Tribolium castaneum: one gene and its partners. The protein of the gene in region 2 binds, or shares a complex with, the protein of the main gene of each other region. Links are inferred from orthologs where the notes say so. Each region holds a gene or a part of one and is shown on either strand. Other genes may lie near its edges.

The links.
Region 1: IntS4 (region 2) and IntS1 share a complex: the UniProt entries of both Homo sapiens proteins name them as parts of the integrator complex. The link is inferred for Tribolium castaneum from reciprocal best matches to the Homo sapiens genes INTS4 and INTS1.
Region 3: the proteins of IntS4 (region 2) and defl are in contact, whole or in part, in a cryo-EM structure (PDB 8RC4), measured with the Homo sapiens proteins. The link is inferred for Tribolium castaneum from reciprocal best matches to the Homo sapiens genes INTS4 and INTS7. Residues at the interface, in NP_291025.3 of Homo sapiens: Glu536, Met539, Asp540, Arg571, His572, Ala574, Tyr575, Asp578, Ser579, Ser610, Phe613, Arg620, Leu624, Leu627, Gly631, Glu634, Leu635, Phe638, Arg641, Asp642, Arg645, Leu646, Glu648, Leu649, Gln650, Lys677, Leu678, Trp679, Asn680, Val681; in NP_056249.1 of Homo sapiens: Lys137, Asn138, His140, His141, Arg144, Gln145, Gly175, His205, His206, Asp207, Ala208, Ser244, Ser245, Leu246, Val247, Lys282, Thr283, Pro284, His285, Thr286, Thr321, Ile322, Lys325, His326, Gly686, Tyr689, Glu704, Gln707, Gln708, Leu711.

What each region holds. Positions count from the first base shown.
Region 1 is NC_087397.1:1,925,731-1,931,566, forward strand, and holds the start of IntS1 (integrator complex subunit 1), read right to left. Parts: upstream 4,261-5,836; 5' UTR 4,219-4,260; coding exon 3,802-4,218; intron 3,752-3,801; coding exon 3,476-3,751; intron 3,426-3,475; coding exon 2,673-3,425; intron 2,625-2,672; coding exon 1,759-2,624; intron 1,562-1,758; coding exon 1-1,561. UniProt on the Homo sapiens protein: Component of the integrator complex, a multiprotein complex that terminates RNA polymerase II (Pol II) transcription in the promoter-proximal region of genes.
Region 2 is NC_087398.1:12,615,009-12,621,522, reverse strand, and holds the start of IntS4 (integrator complex subunit 4), read right to left. Parts: upstream 4,025-6,514; 5' UTR 3,938-4,024; coding exon 3,884-3,937; intron 3,831-3,883; coding exon 3,082-3,830; intron 3,028-3,081; coding exon 2,660-3,027; intron 1,029-2,659; coding exon 564-1,028; intron 512-563; coding exon 268-511; intron 217-267; coding exon 1-216. Other genes in the region: neurotrophin receptor-interacting factor 1, read right to left, coding at 5,496-5,960. UniProt on the Homo sapiens protein: Component of the integrator complex, a multiprotein complex that terminates RNA polymerase II (Pol II) transcription in the promoter-proximal region of genes.
Region 3 is NC_087397.1:6,154,426-6,160,278, forward strand, and holds the start of defl (integrator complex subunit 7), read right to left. Parts: upstream 4,261-5,853; 5' UTR 4,066-4,260; intron 4,011-4,065; 5' UTR 3,999-4,010; coding exon 3,908-3,998; intron 3,862-3,907; coding exon 3,732-3,861; intron 3,684-3,731; coding exon 3,399-3,683; intron 3,353-3,398; coding exon 3,106-3,352; intron 3,058-3,105; coding exon 2,877-3,057; intron 2,828-2,876; coding exon 2,671-2,827; intron 1,564-2,670; coding exon 1,346-1,563; intron 1,295-1,345; coding exon 813-1,294; intron 764-812; coding exon 465-763; intron 408-464; coding exon 206-407; intron 160-205; coding exon 1-159. UniProt on the Homo sapiens protein: Component of the integrator complex, a multiprotein complex that terminates RNA polymerase II (Pol II) transcription in the promoter-proximal region of genes.

The DNA of each region.
Region 1 (5,836 bases), on a different chromosome or scaffold from region 2:
ATTTGTGACAATCTGTTGGGTTTTTACTAAGTTGGGTAATTGTTTTTTACTCTCGATTTCGATTTTAACATCAATGTCTTGTACAACGGGCATTTGCATCTCGATAGCCTTGACAAAGGTGTCACCACCCACTGCGCCTCTTTTGTTTTGGACTTCCACCAATTGAATCATGTAAGTTTTGTCCAAAACTGAGTCCACGACCAGTTTCGGGTCCAAAAGTGTGGCTTTGTCCAAAGTACTCAGCAATTTACTGATGGAATTTGTCGGTATTCCGAACGATTGTATAAAAAGGACCAACTTTGGCGGCTCTAATTTTTCAATGGCTGCGTCAACCAATCGTGGGACGTTTGACCGAATCATCCGCAGTTTCATCCAATCAGGGAGATACGACGTTCGTTCGTTTGTATCAGGTGTGTAGGCTTGTGGTTGTTCGGCGTTCGCCGGAAACCAAAAATTTAACAAAGTCTCGAACGGCTCAAAATTCTCCAAAGGACCGTAAGTCAGTAACACAATAGCTGCGTGTATTACTAAAGTCTGCATGTGGCATTGTTCCCCAGTCACCCAAGTCACCAAAACATACTCGCTGTAGTTTTGCACCGAACTGTAAATATCCTCCGAGAATTCCTGCGCTTTCTGAATATGACTCGCAAAAATGGTCAAAAGGTGCTTCAAAGTTTGGTTGTCCGGCCCTGGCAACACGTACGAAGCCACGCTGTGTCTCTCGATAATAACCGACGATAAATCGGCGATTAATTCGTGCAGTTCCGTAAACGAATCGTTACAATCCTGCGTTGCCAAAAAATTGATATAACTCGAAACCCGCGCCGGATTTGTCTCAATTTGCAAGGCTTGCCGCAAAAACTGTATAAGCACTGGTTTAATCATCGTAAAGTGTGGAAAATGTGTTATGTAACTCGTCAACCAGTTCGTATTATTCGTCTCGCTTTCCTCCCCTTCGGCCAAAATCAAATTCAAGCCTTTGGTGGCCTGCGTCCGACTCGCCCCATGATCGGACGTCAACCGCCTGAACAAATACTCCAAAACCTCACAGGCAGTCTGCGGATCATTCTCATTAACCACCGTCCGCAAATGCGCCAAAAGCTGGCCATGTTTCGTCAATTTCTCCGTCGGTGTCGTCGACAGGAGATACTCGCACAGACATTGCACAGGCAGGTGGGCCAACGCCCCCTCCGAATTGTGCACCAGCTCGGCCAGCCACGGCATATGCGCGGTGCCCCCTTGCCGCGACATAATGTCCAATAGAAAATCGGGGTTCCGCGAGCGGCACAATAAATGTCCCATGCGATGCGTGTTGTTCAAGTGTTGGAGCTGGTCGAGGACGGCTTGGGGGGGCCTTCGGGCTTCGCCCTCAGGCCGCAACTCCATTAATTGGGGCAATAGGAGACTGCTCTGTTCGGTGATTTCCATTTTAGTGCTCGCGGCCGCGAGGTGTGATTCAAATTCCAGGATTTTTTGCTTCTCAAGGGCGAGGATTTGCTGCTCGCGGGACTGGTAGTCTTCGTCCAGGGAGGTCATGGTGGGCGGGGGAAACGAAAAGTGACTAAAATGGGGATAGTTAGGGTCAAGTATACGGGGATTGGAGGTCGGAGCGAAACGAGATACAAAATCGCACTCAAAAAATATAGTAAAAATTCACAAATTATTTGGAAAAAAATGTAGAAAAGTTGAGCTGACTGTGATGGAACAACGGTTTTATTTGTACGTCGTTTCATATCCTGACCTTCAAGAGATACTAACTTTGTTATGCACATTTCCATGAACATGCGCAACGTTGGGTATTTGTTCCAGACCTCGTTCCCAAAAGTGACCGGATTATGAGCCGCTATGATCAGCAAAATGAGCCAAACTTTCCAATAGAGCCCAGAAATGGCCAAACTGGGGGGCACATACCCCGCCGGCAGCGTGATATTCTCCGGATAATTATAGCTGCACAAGTTGAAATAAATCCCGATTATCTCCAAATTATCAACGACCAAGGGCGGGGCGCAGTCTTGGGGCAAATTCGCCGCCCTTCTAATCAACTGATCGCTAATTTCAATCGCTTCCGTGGGACTAATCGGGTGTTCTTTCGAGTTCCCGATCAGCAAAATCCTCAAAAGAGTCGCCTGAAGCAAGGGAACCTCACTCGTAAGCCTCAAAAACAAGTTCCTCTCGTTTTCGCCAGGCCACGAGTCGACCTTGTAGTAATGCTCCGCTTGTTCGAGGAACAAGACTTTGAGTAGAACGTGGTGGAAGTCGTTGAGACTTGGCCGGAAAACCCTTAGCGCGGAGTCGTTGAGCCAAGTCACTGCCTCCCGCTGTATGTTACTGACTTGTTTCTGGAAGGCTTTCAGGACCGTGACGTCGCGTTTGTTTTGCGTTGAGGCGTCGCGGACCTGAGGGCTGACGCACAGCAGCATACACATGCAGACCAGGTCGGCCAGTGATAGAAAAATTCGCTCGCGAAATTCCGACTCGCGCACGTTATTCGCAAACTCTTTGCGCTCGCGAACGAGCGAATGCACGATGCTTAACAAGTTGAAATCGTGCCGGAGGACTCGGGTGATTTCTTTCAAAAGCGCCCGCAGCGAACGCAAATAATCGTCTTTGTTTAGGAGCAACTCCTGGGGACAGTTTTAATGCAATTTGTTTTTGATTATCGGTGTACTCACCAGGCAAATGTCGGCGAAAGCGTCGGCACTTGCCTCAGGTGCGACCTGAAACAGGGCCCCCACGACGATTAAATTGTTGGAATTTCGGGCATTGGACAGTTCGTTGTAAATCGTGTATTTCAAAAGGGGGTACAAGTTCTCCGGGAACGAGTAAACCATCTCCCGGAGACAGTTGTTGAAGTAGTTAACCATGGGTTTGTTCTTCAGTCTGAGCTTGCTCAGCTGCGCTATTATTTCCAAGTCTCTTTGCGAACTCGCCGAGCAATTGTAGCACAAATAGGCGAGGAGTTCCTGCGCTGATTTCATCAACTTATGGTTGTGTAGCCAACTCTCGATGCGCGAAACGGCAATTATGCGAATTTCCACAAGTCCTGAAGCGATACTCAAGAAGCGGACGAAGTTTTTCGTGATGGTTTCCGGTTGTTGGCGCCTTGCTAGTTGTTCCTTGATGGCTTCAAGGACGATTTTTTCGACGTTTTCCTGCGTTTGGGTGAACCGGGGATACACTTTGACGTTCCAGTTTTCAACTGCGGCTTTATGCTCGAGAATCACTTCGCTTTTGGTGTCGTCGTCAGCGCTTGTGATTGTGAGGGGGCTAGAAGTGTCTCTAGCCGTGGAATTCCATGTCTCGGATTTGAGGAGCGAGGAAGGGGGCAATTTGGTGTTAAACGCCGTGATTATGTTATCAACGAATGGTTTACAGTACGGATTGTCGATAAAAATGCGATCGGCCACCGCGTCCTCCACATAAATCTACGAATAATTGTGATTCTGAAACATTTTTAATTTTTTTTCCGACTTACTTTGACGAAAATTTCCGGCCATTGGGCGACATCGGTGAAGGCGTGAGTTAATAAATTAATAAACAGCATGTGGAAGTAAGAATTTGTTTTGTTAACGCCCTTAAAACCGGAAGTTACATCACGCCGCAGAACATTCACAATAGCCGCTATGATATTCTCATTAGTGAATAACTGGGGTTTGCAGCTGCAAGTCAGTAAAAGACTCAGATAAACCACTTTACAAATCTTAGTCCTTTGAGTCTTCAACGAGCGAATGACCCCCAAAACATACCCAACCTGAAGCAACCAATTAATTTCACCCCTAAACACAATCAAGAAAAAATTACAGCTTTATCAGTATTGCCGGCATTAACAGCCGCCATAATACTCTCGAACAAATCGCTTGTCTCACAGTCCACAGCCAGGGCTTCCCACGGCTCAACCCCCATCCTCTCCACAGGTAGTATGCTGCTAGTGGAGGGCCCTGGCCGGCTTCCCGGTATCGCAACTTTCATTTTCTTCGAAGGGGGCACTGTAAGACTAGACGAAGTCCCTTCACGCTTCAATTTATCCGTCACTTTACTGCTACTTGTTTGTAAATGGGAGGCAGTGCTGGTTTTAGGGAGCGGAACGCTACGTTTGGGGTCATCTCGAGGGGAGGATTGTTTGGCCCCCAAAGCGATGAACAAGTCAGGGGGTTGTTGCGTTATTTTGGCCTTGGGGCCACGAGTGGCTTGGCTCTGGCCCGGTTTATTCCGATCCATGGTGGACCAATTATCACAAACAATGCAACAATTTTGGTTTTTTCGCAGTCAAAACAAGAAAAAAATTTTGACAGATAAGAGATAAGTTGCCAGTTGCACCAACCATTTTTCAATAACCATCTCTCTCTTATTCTATGGTGTTGGTGCACAGACTAACAGGTTTTGATTTGTGTGAAGACAGCTCCCAAAACCAGCTCCTCGAATTTCCGAAGAGACCCGAACATGAAGCCAGTTTCAGACTAGCAAAATAAGTTTCAGTTTGCTTAGATGTATGTTTGGTTGTCAGCTTTGAAACCGTTTAATAAAATAAAAATCCGAAAAAACACTAAACACCCTCTTAAAAATGACATTTTAAGAAAGTCACTATGCTAATAGCGAAAAACTCAATTATTTACCACAAATTGCTTTTTAATTTTTCCCACTTTTTCACCTAATTTCAATATTTATGGCTCCGCAAATGCATTATTGTAGTTTTCGCCCCATTTCACCCCGAAATCGGTTTTGTCACACAATGCCCTTTTGACCACTAATTCAACAATAAAAAAGACGTTTTTTAAAAATAAAATTATGGCCTTTTAGTTGTCGGAACAATGTTAAAAATTGTTATGTTGCCCAGCTCCGCAAATGCACTGTTGCAGTTTTCGCCCCATTTCACCCCAAAATCGGTTTTGTCACACAATGCCCTTTTGACCACCAATTCAACAATAAAAAAGACGTTTTTTAAAAATAAAATTATGGCCTTTTAGTTGTCGGAACAATGTTAAAAATTGTTATGTTGTTCAGCTCCGCAAATGCATTATTGTAGTTTTCGCCCCATTTCACCCCGAAATCGGTTTTGTCACACAATGCCCTTTTGACCACCAATTCAACAATAAAAAAGACGTTTTTTAAAAATAAAATTATGGCCTTTTAGTTGTCGGAACAATGTTAAAAATTGTTATGTTGCCCAGCTCCGCAAATGCACTGTTGCAGTTTTCGCCCCATTTCACCCCGAAATCGGTTTTGTCACACAATGCCCTTTTGACCACTAATTCAACAATAAAAAAGACGTTTTTTAAAAATAAAATTATGGCCTTTTAGTTGTCGGAACAATGTTAAAAATTGTTATGTTGCCCAGCTCCGCAAATGCACTGTTGCAGTTTTCGCCCCATTTCACCCCAAAATCGGTTTTGTCACACAATGCCCTTTTGACCACCAATTCAACAATAAAAAAGACGTTTTTTAAAAATAAAATTATGGCCTTTTAGTTGTCGGAACAATGTTAAAAATTGTTATGTTGTTCAGCTCCGCAAATGCATTATTGTAGTTTTCGCCCCATTTCACCCCGAAATCGGTTTTGTCACACAATGCCCTTTTGACCACCAATTCAACAATAAAAAAGACGTTTTTTAAAAATAAAATTATGGCCTTTTAGTTGTCGGAACAATGTTAAAAATTGTTATGTTGTTCAGCTCCGCAAATGCATTATTGTAGTTTTCGCCCCATTTCACCCCGAAATCGGTTTTGTCACACAATGCCCTTTTGACCACCAATTCAACAATAAAAAAGACGTTTTTTAAAAATAAAATTATGGCCTTTTAGTTGTCGGAACAATGTTAAAAATTGTTATGTTGCCCAG
Region 2 (6,514 bases):
TCCAGAAGGTTTGTTATGTTAGTTTTGAGGTTGTTGGCCTGTTGGGTGGCCAAAGTACCCGGGTTTAACCAATAACCCTTTTCCAATATCTGGGACATTATTAATTGGGCCCCAATGTAAAGCGATGTGAATTGAGCCGTCCCTGCGACCGACGAGTCAATTTCACTCAAACGGTTCAAGTGTTCTTTAGCGGTTTGTAAAAGTGTCGTCTGAACTCTAAAAATAAATTTTACAATTAGTAACAGACTTGCCAAGCTTGTGCCTCACCGTAATGTATTTTCGGCCAAATCTAAGTTGCTTATAACATTGTTAAGAAACTCCAGACTTTCCGGGACCGTTTGTGGTCTGCTAATTGTGTTACAACTCGATTCCGGGAGACTTAAAACCGGAACTAGGGACGGCATTGTGTCACTTATGTACGCATAATGACGTAAGGTGTGGGGTTCCAGAAGTGGGATTATAGTAGGTGAAAACTTTGCCGCATTTAAAATCAAAATCAGGACGCAAATATCTGCAAAAAAATGTTTAATCCGGATAACGTAAAAATTTGCTTAAGCCCATACATTGCGGATTTTCCACGTCCGGTTCAGCAGTATCGAAAAACGGGTGTATGTTTAACAATTGTGGCACTAGAGGGAGCACCAATTCGGGGTGCTGTGCCCCCACCCGTTGTAAACACCGATAGGTCGATCGCTTATCTTGCGGATATTTTTTGAGATTATCTAATAGTTTTTCAACGCACATTTTGAGCCCGGCTGTTGTTGACATTTTACACGATGCCAACATGTGGTGGAGGCCCTCTCGGACATCCTGCGAAAAGTCCTCAAGGGCCCCTAAGATGGTCTCCAACTGGTCGTCTCTTAGAATAATGTGTTCGGATATTCGGCGTAAACTATCAATGGCTTTGAGTCTCACATCCTCGATTTCGTCGTTGAACATATCGACCAGGAAGTCGAGGGATAAATTTGCGAATTGGGGGTTGCGAATGGAGAGCTCGCAGAGTGATTCGACGGCGGCGGAACGCACCTCTGATAAATATTAATCAATCATTAGTACAATACAGGATGATTCAAAAGTGTCGGACTAACTTTCGTATGGTGATATTGATAGGAGATATTCAGTAAAGTTTAAAAATGTTTTTTTTTCAAGCAACTTGATTTTTAATATTTAATATATAGGGTGGCCCACTGAAACCAATACACCCAAATTTTTAACGTTTGGAGTCACTTAACTCAAAACGCTAAGACAGTGCGATTTTATATCCAAGGGGGACACTTAAATATTTACTTTGTGTTCGTACCACTTCAACCCCCAAAGAGGGGCTGCCTGTAATTATATATTTTTTTAATGGAAACAGGGGTTAATTATGATGTTATTTTAAAATCTATTAAAACCTCTTTACAATAGGGAAAGTGCGGGCAAGACGGGGTACTTAACGTTTGAAGCTCTATAAAATTTTTGTATTATTAATTATCCTTGGTAATTAGTTTTTTGTGATTAATAAGTTTTATTTGGAACCTTTATTAAATATAAAAGTGAAACAAAGTAGAAAAAGTCCTTGTGGGTAAGATGGGGTACCCCTAATTTCAATTTCACTGTTGCTCTCGATTGATGGTCTAATCTTAAAATCTTTTTCTTTTTGAACACTCTTTTTATCAACCCCAGATTTTTCAGTTTTCCTTTAGCTCTGTAATTTTTATTCTTTTGCTTATTTTCCAAACTTTGTTATGGTTTAAGGTTTTTTATGAAGAGAGGAGTTTTACATATTACTGTTACGAGCAAGGTCTCAGCCCGTCTTGCCCTCTTACGGCAAATTGTGTTAGAAAATTAACTTCCAAAAACTATGTTGTCATCTACAAATAAATAGATGTTAACCTGTTAGAAAAATCATTGACATATGAATAACCATAAAAGCAATTTGAAATTTTGTTATTAACAAAACAGACACGTACTAAAGAAAGTGAAAAAAATCATAAGAAAATCGCCAAAAACAGGTTTTTTTCATAAAACTCGCAAAAGGCATGGTGGTATCGTTCAATTAAAAATCTACAATTAAAAGCTGTCTTAACTGGGCTTCGCCACGTACAAAAAATGATTATTAGTCAATTAGTTTATTATTTAAAGCTCATACCCCGTCTTGCCCGCACTTCCACCAAGTGTTATTTTTTTTATTTGGTATAAGTTTTCTAAAAATTTCTTTTTTTTAATTACAGTTTATTTATTAAATTATTTATTTGAATGTTCTAAATGGCCATAATTTTTTTAGTCTTTATGAACCCCATAAATTGTAAAAATCGAGTCCAAACATCGAAAACTTGGGTGAACTGTCTTCACTGAACCATCCTGTATATTTTCTATTTGTTTTCCTTAGGAACAGTTTCATTCATTGTTCTTTTATTCCCAATGATGTCAAATTTAATTTACTATCTAATTTGTGAGCTTATTAAATTTTTTAAATACCATAATACACTAATTGGCACATAATTGATGATTTTTTTTAACAGATATCTGCTTAATGATCAAAGAAATTAAAAAAAAATTGATCTAAAGTTCTTTACCACTACCTAAAAGTCCACAACTGTATTATTACCAATAAGTCAAAAAAAAGTAGATAATTGTAGATAAAAATTATGACACTCGGCTTTGCCTCGTCATTTACCCATAAACTCGTCCTCCAAGCCGTGCACGAAGGCCCCACACGCCCCACTGCTCATCAAATTGATGCTGTCAGCGTCGAGGATTTCCCTGGGGGCGTCATCGGCCCATTTTTTCCCACTCGCCCATTCTCCACTCGTTACATTTTCCCAAGCCAACTCATGAGCCGTCCTTTTGCGCCTCATATTAGACATTAATTTTTTATCAAGAGTTTGGTTGAGAAATTTCGCACTGACTTGTTTCATCGTTCCCAATAGTTTAGCCGCCAAGGTTCGAACATGGATTGATAAATCAGAAATCGAGTTGCAAACTTTACCGAAAGCGTCGTCTATGAGACGGATTTCGTGTTCACTTCCCGGAAGTACAACCTCACTGAAATTTTTTCAATTAAATGTAAATAGAAGAGAGGGTTTAGGCTAAGCCTACTTTTCCGGAAACGTGTTGCCCAAAAGACACACTAACTTGAGAACGACTTGACGGACAATTTCGTAGTCGTCCTTTAAGGCATCGCAAACATCTATATAAATGTCCGGATTTATTTTAAAATTGCGCTCATGTAGGGTGATAATCGTCGAAAAAGCCTGACTACGCACCCTGGCGTCGTCGTGGTTAAAGTACGAACTAATCAAAACCATTAATTTCTCCGCCTCTGCCCCCGTACAAACCGGCGTATGCACGCCAATGATCTCTAGACATTTCCTCTTGACAGCATGACTGACATCTTTCAAGTAACTTTTCGCCACTTCTACCAGTTTCTGATGCAAAGCGATGACATTATCAGAGACCAGCTTCCCTAATTTAAGCACGGTATTCATCCCCTGAGCGATAACTTTATGTGAATGGTCATTTTTAAGCAACAAAATCGTCTCGTCAATAATGGACACAACATCAGCGTTGGGTAGATGCCCAATGTCGCACAAAAGTGACAAAATTTTTACTCTAACGGCCGACTCTGGCTCATTCTTAAAATGATCGCTCAGTTTTTTAACTGCTTCGGGAATATCTGAAGCCTCAAGCTCGAAAGTATCAGAGACACGAAGCAAAGTTCGTAGGGCTTCGCTACTGCTTTTGCAACCTTCAAGACAACTAATAAGTGCCAAAGACGAGTTCCCGGTGCCTGTGGAAGGCTTCTTGACAAGTTTGAGTTTTTTAATCGGTTGGAAAGGAACAGTTTCCTGGAATATGTAAACATAACCTCATTTTGGACAAAGGGAAATTTAGCCCATACCTGGATTGTTTGGGTGAATTCGGCCAAAGCGCGTTTTTTCAACACTGCAGCCATCGTGTTTATGTGGTAATTAACCGATTTTAGCGTTTTTTAAACATTTTATTTTGTGATTGTTGTCAAATGTCAAAAAGTTACGCAACCGCCACCTGGTGACAATTACATAAAATTTGGTTTTTTGATTTTTTTTATTTATGAGCGGTAAAGGTATTAATTTACCGCATTTGTCGGTTTCTGGCATTAATTCTAAATTATTGTTTTGTCCAATTAGGTAATTAATGCTATTTTGTTGTTGGACCGAATGACGGTTTGTTTGTGCCAATGGCGTATCGTTTGGGATGGGTTTGGGGGTCGGGTTAAACTCATTTGTTTTAAATAATGTTTATTTGTAATAAATTCACAATTATATAATAAAGTTATAAAATGTAAATATATGAATCTAGGTATAAAAATACTTTATAAAATCAATAATAAAGAGGAGATAAAATCTGATATAACTATACATAACGTAATCTGAGTATAAAACATGTTCTATGGCGAATATAAACAAAAAAGTTTATATAAAGTGTCTGGATGTACATATTTTTCGTACGTATATGTAGTCTATTTGAGTATTGTCTTTCAGAGAGAACACAGTTGGAAAAAAGTTGGCAGTTATGGGCCAAAGAAGCAAGCAAAAAAAACTAAATTGAATGAGATCCAAAATAGAACAAAAAACATAATAATAATATAAATCCCTTTACCATGGCAAACTGTCATAAATAAGAATTACGAACATTTACAAAAAACATCAACAAATACTGATTATAATACAAAAATTAGTAAACAAGAGCATTAAGTATGATCGATTTACAAAACAATTGTAACATTACGTAAACATTTATAACATAGACAACAATTGTAAGATGGTAAGGATTAGAAAATAACAAATGACGCGACTCGGTCGCATTTGTACTCACATTTGTAATGTGTACAACAAATTATACTATTTAATCAATATACAATAAACATTTTTATTTTACAAAGTGAGTATTATAAGGTAAAAAGGTCATATAATGCCTTGACATATGGTAAACTGAAGTTTTTTCTTCCTAATCACTAAGCGCTAGCATTAAACTAAAAGCATCTGAAACTAAATTAAATGCTTCGTTGAAGCACTGCGGAGTAACCTAGAGCAGAGTGGAACGATAATACTTTTAATTATTAGGAAAAAAACTGAACAGAAAAAACAAACAATTGTAGATTCCACACTGCGAGTAACAAAGAAACTAATCATACGATAAATAAATTAAAAAATTCTAAATTTTATCAAGTACGCGATAATACAGAAATGGCAAGAAATTTTAGGCAGATTCGATAAAAAATAAATACACAAAAATTCCGATCTCTTTTGAAAATAAATTTCACATAATCACAGCACATGAGTACAATATAATAAAAAAATTAACAAAACAAAACAATGCTAGGAACAAAACTTGGCAAAGTAGCATCAAAAATGTGTTTTCGTTGCTGTTCATCGAGAGAAATTTGTGCGTTGGCGGAATGTCGCCGGCCGACGAATAAATAAATAAATAATTTAGGTACGAATGTGGACCATTCCGCCGCCCCCAGCAAGCTACCTCGACTTGGCCTTGGCGGCGGCGACGTTCCCCGCCGCCGCCGCGTTCTTCTGCGCTATGTGCGTCTGGTAGTGCTTGGCCAAGTGGGCCTTCTGCCTAAAACTTTTCCCGCAGAGACTGCACGCGAAGGGCTTCTCCCCCGTGTGCGTCCGGATGTGGACGTTCACCGAGTACTTGTCCTTGAAGCCCTTCGAGCAGATGCTGCAGTAGTGCAACGAGCGCTCTTTGCGGACGCCGTTGCTCGTCGAGGTCGCGTTTTGTACCGTCGTTTGTGCTTTGGTGTTGCTGTTTGAACGCTTGTATTTCTTCGTCGCTGGCTTCGTACTGCTCACGGAGGGGGTCGCGATCTGGATGGGGGAGTTGAGGTTGTTGAGGATGCCGATCTGGTCGGGGCTTATGCTGTACACGGGGTTCTCCGCCGACGTGTCGATCTGGCAGTATTGGTTCACTGACTCCGCCACCTGAAAATTATCATTTATACGGTTAAAATTAACTGTCTTTACAGTCTTTTTCAGAGATGACTACACCTTTTCCAATTGTAGTTCAGAAAGTAGCAGATGTTGTCTACATATTTCAGAAAAGATGAATTAAATACCTATCTATGTTTACACATAACTCTTTCTGAAATACATGATTGTGATACTTTCTGAAATACTATTGGAAAAGGTGTAGATTAAAACAGATGTGAAATAGTAGATTGTGTCAGATTGTGCAGCTCTATTTTGACCAAATATTAAGTACAATTTAATAATTATCATCAAAGTTTTCGAGTACTTTATAAAAAACTTTTCAACTCTAAAGAGTAAGTGTAACAGGTACTTATCCAATATACGTGCTTTTTAAATAAAATTTTGGACTTGATAAAACATACAGAAAAAATGTGCTGAAGATCGTCCTAAGGAAACACAGGAATTACAAAACAAAACAGCTTCAGTTAGCCGTAGTTTAACAATATTATTGCTTGGGATATTAGTTGCAAAGATTACAATCGATATAGTCATGATTGTGAAGGAAG
Region 3 (5,853 bases), on a different chromosome or scaffold from region 2:
GGAATTGGCTTGGACACTTATGAATTCACCCATGACGCGAGGTTGGGGTGAAATGGCCAACTTGACGCTGGTACATTGCAAAACTTGGAAGAAATACCGTGGAATAGGCAACGAAGCATTTGACAACACTTCGCAGATTTTCTTCAACAACTCAATGTGCTACAATTTTAAATAAAACACACAAAAACGAAGCGAATTTAAGTACCCGGTGCGTTATTGTAGTCATTGAAGAGCCATCATCAAGAGCGTGCGCAACTGTTAAAGCATTGCAACAAGCTTTTGTCAACTGTTGCGATTCGAGACGTGTTTCACGCGATCCGAATTCAATCGGATCGTCACGGATTTTTGATCCGTTGACACAAATACTTTCCACGCTTTGCTCCACAAGCACACACATTTGTTGCAAACTGCAAAAACACACGTTAAAAATAACTAAATGTACAGAAAAAAACAAACGAACACACATTTGCATATTTTCTAAGGTGGCAGGGTCAGCGTCGAACGCAGTTTGGTACAGCTTCCAGTAGAGGTCGCCACAATTTTTAAACTCTTTCACACACTTTCTCAACTGATTCGTGATATATCCGTGTCTTTGATACTCATCTCGCGTGTTTTGGACGATAGTAGCGGCAATCGCAGGCGGCGGGACTATACACAGGGTGTTGCAAGTATAAATGAGTTGGATCAAAGACTGGAGAAACTCTGTACGGATTCGCATATACTCCGCTTGGAATTGTAAATTATGTGAGGGGGTACTAGCCGCCTGAAACAGTGCGTAACAATCACAAACCAAAAGTCGGTAAAACAGGAACCTTCAAAGCCGCGATGGCTTTATTGTAATGTATGATCGCCCGTTCCAAGCGATTTACCAAACTATCGTCCGAAGTGAGTAAAAACGACTCGGCTTCCGACATTTCCTTCAAACAAACCAACCAGAAATGGAAATGTTCAGAACTGACTTGTTCCGTCAGTTGGTTGAAAATCGTATTTGCGATTTTGTGGTGGCCGTATCTGACCGCAGCCCGCGCTATGCAATAATTCGCCCACAGATTGTTATTTTCAATAACGCAAAAAATCGCACTTTCGGTTTCTTCGTTCCAGGTGTAGTCAGACATGCTTTGGAAAACCAGCGTACAAAGCATGATTTTGATGCGCGTTTGTTGCTCCGTTGGTTGGTCGATTTCGGATAAAGCGCGCAATAAGTTGAGAATACTGGCGAGAAGCGAGAGTAAAGTGTCGGGTTTGAGGCCCCCAATAGCCCCCAAAGTCTCACAGATGACGATGGTACAGTCGTCTGTAAAAAATCGATTTGATTTGTTCTTGAACCATAATTGAAATAACATACTGTGTATGTTGTCGAGGCGAGTGCCGAGCAGTTCCACAAACGTCTCGCAATATTCTCTCCGCGCTTCGCACAGTCGAACAGCACATTTCAGTGCCAGCTTGAGCTGTTTTGGGTGTTTGTCGTTCGAAAAAGTCAAAAGCAAAATTAAAGTTTCGAGGGCCGAAATCACTTCGTCCGCTCTTTCAGTCTCCAGTTTCTCCTTGTAGCTAAAAATACGACTGTTTTTTGTTCTTCCTGGGTAACGGAGGACTAAACTATTAGGGGGCGACAGGTGTAAAAGTCAGTTTTAAAATTTTGCACAATAAAACGACAATTTAATTTGAAGCAAGAATCAAATAATTAAAAAAAAATACAGAAAAATTGCCTTTATTTTAAATGTGTATTAGAATAGTGTAATTACAAATACTTATTAAGATTTCGTTAAAATGGTTTCTCTGGAATTTTTGCTCAACAAATAAGTTTTAACAAAAAAAAAGTGACGTAGGCGTAACAAAAATCAGTGAATCAGACAAACTTCTTTGTTTTCCACCTCGTAATAATTAGTTATCTCAAATAGTATATTTTGTACTGGTAACGTGTTATCCATATTCTTACACAATTCGTTGGCTAGTGTGTGTTGATTGTGGTTAGTGTATGCTACTGGATAGGATTTCAAGGGAGAAAAAAAGGAAACAATCCGGATTTAGGGGTCAGTCTTTAGTTTTTTCTTTTTAGAAAGATTACATTATTATCTAAAAATTTAATGGCACATTTCCAATCTCTAATAAGAGTTGAAAATACCTTTATTTGAGGTATTTTGAAGAGTTGTCTGTACCATGTGATCATTTGAATTTATTAGTTTTATAATTTGTATGAAAACGCTAATTAACATAATTAAAATCAAGCTGAAAAGTCAAAGTGAGTCAAATAAAACACTAAAAGGTGTCTCTGGTTAAATAAAAATTGACCTGTCTCGGGATGTTTTAATTTTTTGTTTATTTTCTGATACTCAGGGCAGCTCGTTTTTTAAAAATCACACTGTATATGGTATTATTAACACCTTGTACTTATTTTATTTTTTATTTATAGATTTATCATCTCCTTAGCTTCAAAAAACTTCTATAATTCTATAATTATTAATAAATAAATTACGGCGAATTCGATACTGAAATAAATATGGAACAAATTTCAAATTAAAAAAATCTCTTGTTTGGGCAAATTTTATTTGTTTCACAGCTTGCTAAAAAATTAAGTCTTAACATTCCCGCATCAAATAATTTAAGACAACGATTTTAAACATCATTTCGCCCCTTAGTTTTGCCCTCCGTACCTATGAGAAAACTCACCAGTAGCATAAAAGTTGTGTCAAAATTTGTATAGCTTGCACTGCGACTGTAGGCTGTGACGAATAACAATGTTTCATACACAATTCTCTCAATTTTGAATTGCTGTCGCGATAATCATGACACATTCGGGGCGATTCAGTCAAGACTTGAATCACACCTAATCATCAATTAATCAGTTTGCAAAACAAGACCTCAAATCGTCTTACCAAGAGCCAGGGTTAATAACCGGGCTTGATGCGTGTGTAAAGTAAAATCTATGATATTGTTGGTGGCCCCCGGGGGCCACAAATGAGCCCCCGGTTTGGCGAACTGGTACAAAAATTGCAAACATCTCGACTTGACTTCACTCCCCAAGTCTTTGCGTAAATATTGCAACAGTAAATTGACCTAAAAGACAGTTTTGGAGAATATTGGAAGACAAATTAATGAAATTACTTGACTCGGGACGTCAACTAGAGTCGCCGTTGCCAACTGGGTAAGTGTGTTTAGAGTGACCAAAACGAAGTCTTTGGCTGGATAACTTGGCAGTAAATCGATACAGAGTGTCCTCACCATCGCAGCCGTGTTGGTATCATGGTGCATGTATTGTAAAATTGGGATTAATTGTAATTTCATGCTGGCAGGCGTTGACTGGCCTTGGATCATGTCAGAGACTTTGTTGCACATGCTTACGGCGAATGTTCTACAAATTATTGTTAAAATAATGAATTCTGAGCAACTTTTACTACTTTGATTGGGCGGCAAACTGAATAGCGGCGTAAATTGCAGCTTGGACTTCCACATTATCGTGAGAATCTAGACTGCTTCTAATACTGTGGTGCACTTGCTGTCGCTCCGGAATGATGGCAGCCACGGCCCCAAACGTCCTCAGCGTCACAGCACGAGCAATAGGGTCATTACTATGAATCACACTGTAAATCCTTCTAACGAACTCATCAACACTCGAAATCTTATCTAGATGTTTTTCGCTTTGTTGGCACACACGCAACACGCACAGTCTTAGGAAATTGTTACTAAAAACAGTGCCATTAAATAGAGTTATTTACAGTAGAGAGTTGTACCCCATGCGAAAAACTTCCGCTAATTTCAGTAATGACGCATTGATGAGGATGGGGAAAGGATATTTTTCGAATAACTTTGGAAAACGAACAATTGCTTCGCATTGCTCGCCCACTTTACCGGACCGGAGCCCTAAAAAGACACTTTTAAAGAAGGCACTCAATACCGCGCTTTGAACCTTTGTCAAGCTCGGTTAAAGCCGAATTGGCGTCTTGCTCGGGCTCTCCGAGACCGTTTTCATTGAAGGCACTCACGCGGACGCTCAGCATTTTGGAAAATCGCTGGAATGTTGTTAGTAGGCAAAACAAATATAACCTGGAATTTTTTTAATCTTACGGGTGAAATATTTCACGCCAGTTGGGTCATCAACTCGTGAGAAAATTACAAAGTGGGGGCCACATCGGCATTCATGTCACAAAATCAATAAACGCGTTCAACATCCAAACTTTTATTTTTTGGTGTTTTTAGCATAGTTTTTAGGTTAGTTTAACCTATGTTGGGAACATAGAATAAGAGAGAAAAAAATGGTGCTGGCACCAAGAACATTACAGTCGACCAGACAATCGCTGCGTGCATGGAGCTAGCACCATGTCCCCACTATTCTCGTTTTCTACAGCCAAGTTCACACCAGGCAAATTATCAAAATAATTGTAAATCATTATAAAAACATCAATAAGCTGTTACGCTGACTTGCATCTCACATTTGTAGAACATCTCCTGTATTTAATTTCTGCATTTTTTATTCTCATATTCAAGCAACGCAAACTGTTTTTTTTCACCCCCTTTATATCCTGCAATTTTCTTTATTTTTGCAGGGGATTAAGCCCTTCGATAGGGCCTTCGACTGTAAAAAAATCATGTTCGGATAAAGTCCCCTTGAGATCTTAATGAATTTTTAAAAATTCTTTAAAATTTTCATATTTCGCAAACTTTATCTTTAAAAATTCATTACAGTATTCAGAATGGCCCCCGAAAAGCGAATGAGTTATTACAGAAAAGGAGGAAAATAGTAAAAATAATGAATAAGAATTTTGCAAAATGCTCTTATAGAAAAGTTGTTGTACTTTATGTTTTATTACGTGGTAAATTTAGCACACGTCAACACGCCCTTTATAAACGATTAAACACCCTTTTTAATCAAAATGTTTAACACGAAAAGTTCAATTTTGTCCTATATACATTTCAATAAATCACACTGAAGTTTAAGTCGTTGACTCAAAGGTAGATTTATCTGCCCATAATATATTCAATCAAAATTAAAAACGCTCTAAAAGAGCAGAAACGAACACGAAATCCATAAAAATGAAAGATTTAACATTTCCAAATGATAACATAACCCTACTTTTAAAACCGAATTTTCTGGAGACCTAAAATTAACACAATTTGTGGCAATACCACTAATTTTCACACCAAAATTTCATTCACCGGCTCGTTTGTACTAATGAAAAGAGGAAAATAGTGAAAATAATGAATAAAAGTTTTGCAAAATGCTTTTATAGAAAAGTTGTTGTACTTTATGTTTTATTATGTGGTAAACTTAACACACCTTAACATGCCCTTTATAAACGATTAAATACCCTTTTTAATCAAAATGTTTAACACGAAAAGTTTATTTGTGCCCTATATACATTTCAATAAATCACACTGAAGTTTATATCATTGACTCAAAGGTAGATTTATCTGCCTTTCAATTCAATTTAATAATAATTAATAACGTTCTAAAAGAGCAGAAACAGACACAAAATCCATAATAGTGAAAGATTTCATATTTCCAAATGATAACATAACCTCACTTTTAAAACTGAATTTTCTGGAGATTTAAAAACACAACTTGTGGCGATACTACTAATTTTGACACCAAAATTTCATATCACAGGTTCGTTTGTACAAAGGAAATGAGAAAAATAGTGAAAATAATGAATAAAAATTTTGCAAAATGCTTTTATAGAAAAGTTGTTGTACATTATGTTTTATTACCTGGTAAACTTAACACTCGTTAACACACCCTTTATAAACAATTAAACGCCCTTTTTTATCAAAATGTTTAACACGAAAAGTTCATTTTTGCCCTTTATACATTTCAATCTCACTGAAGTTTATGTCGTTGACTCAAGGTAGATTTGT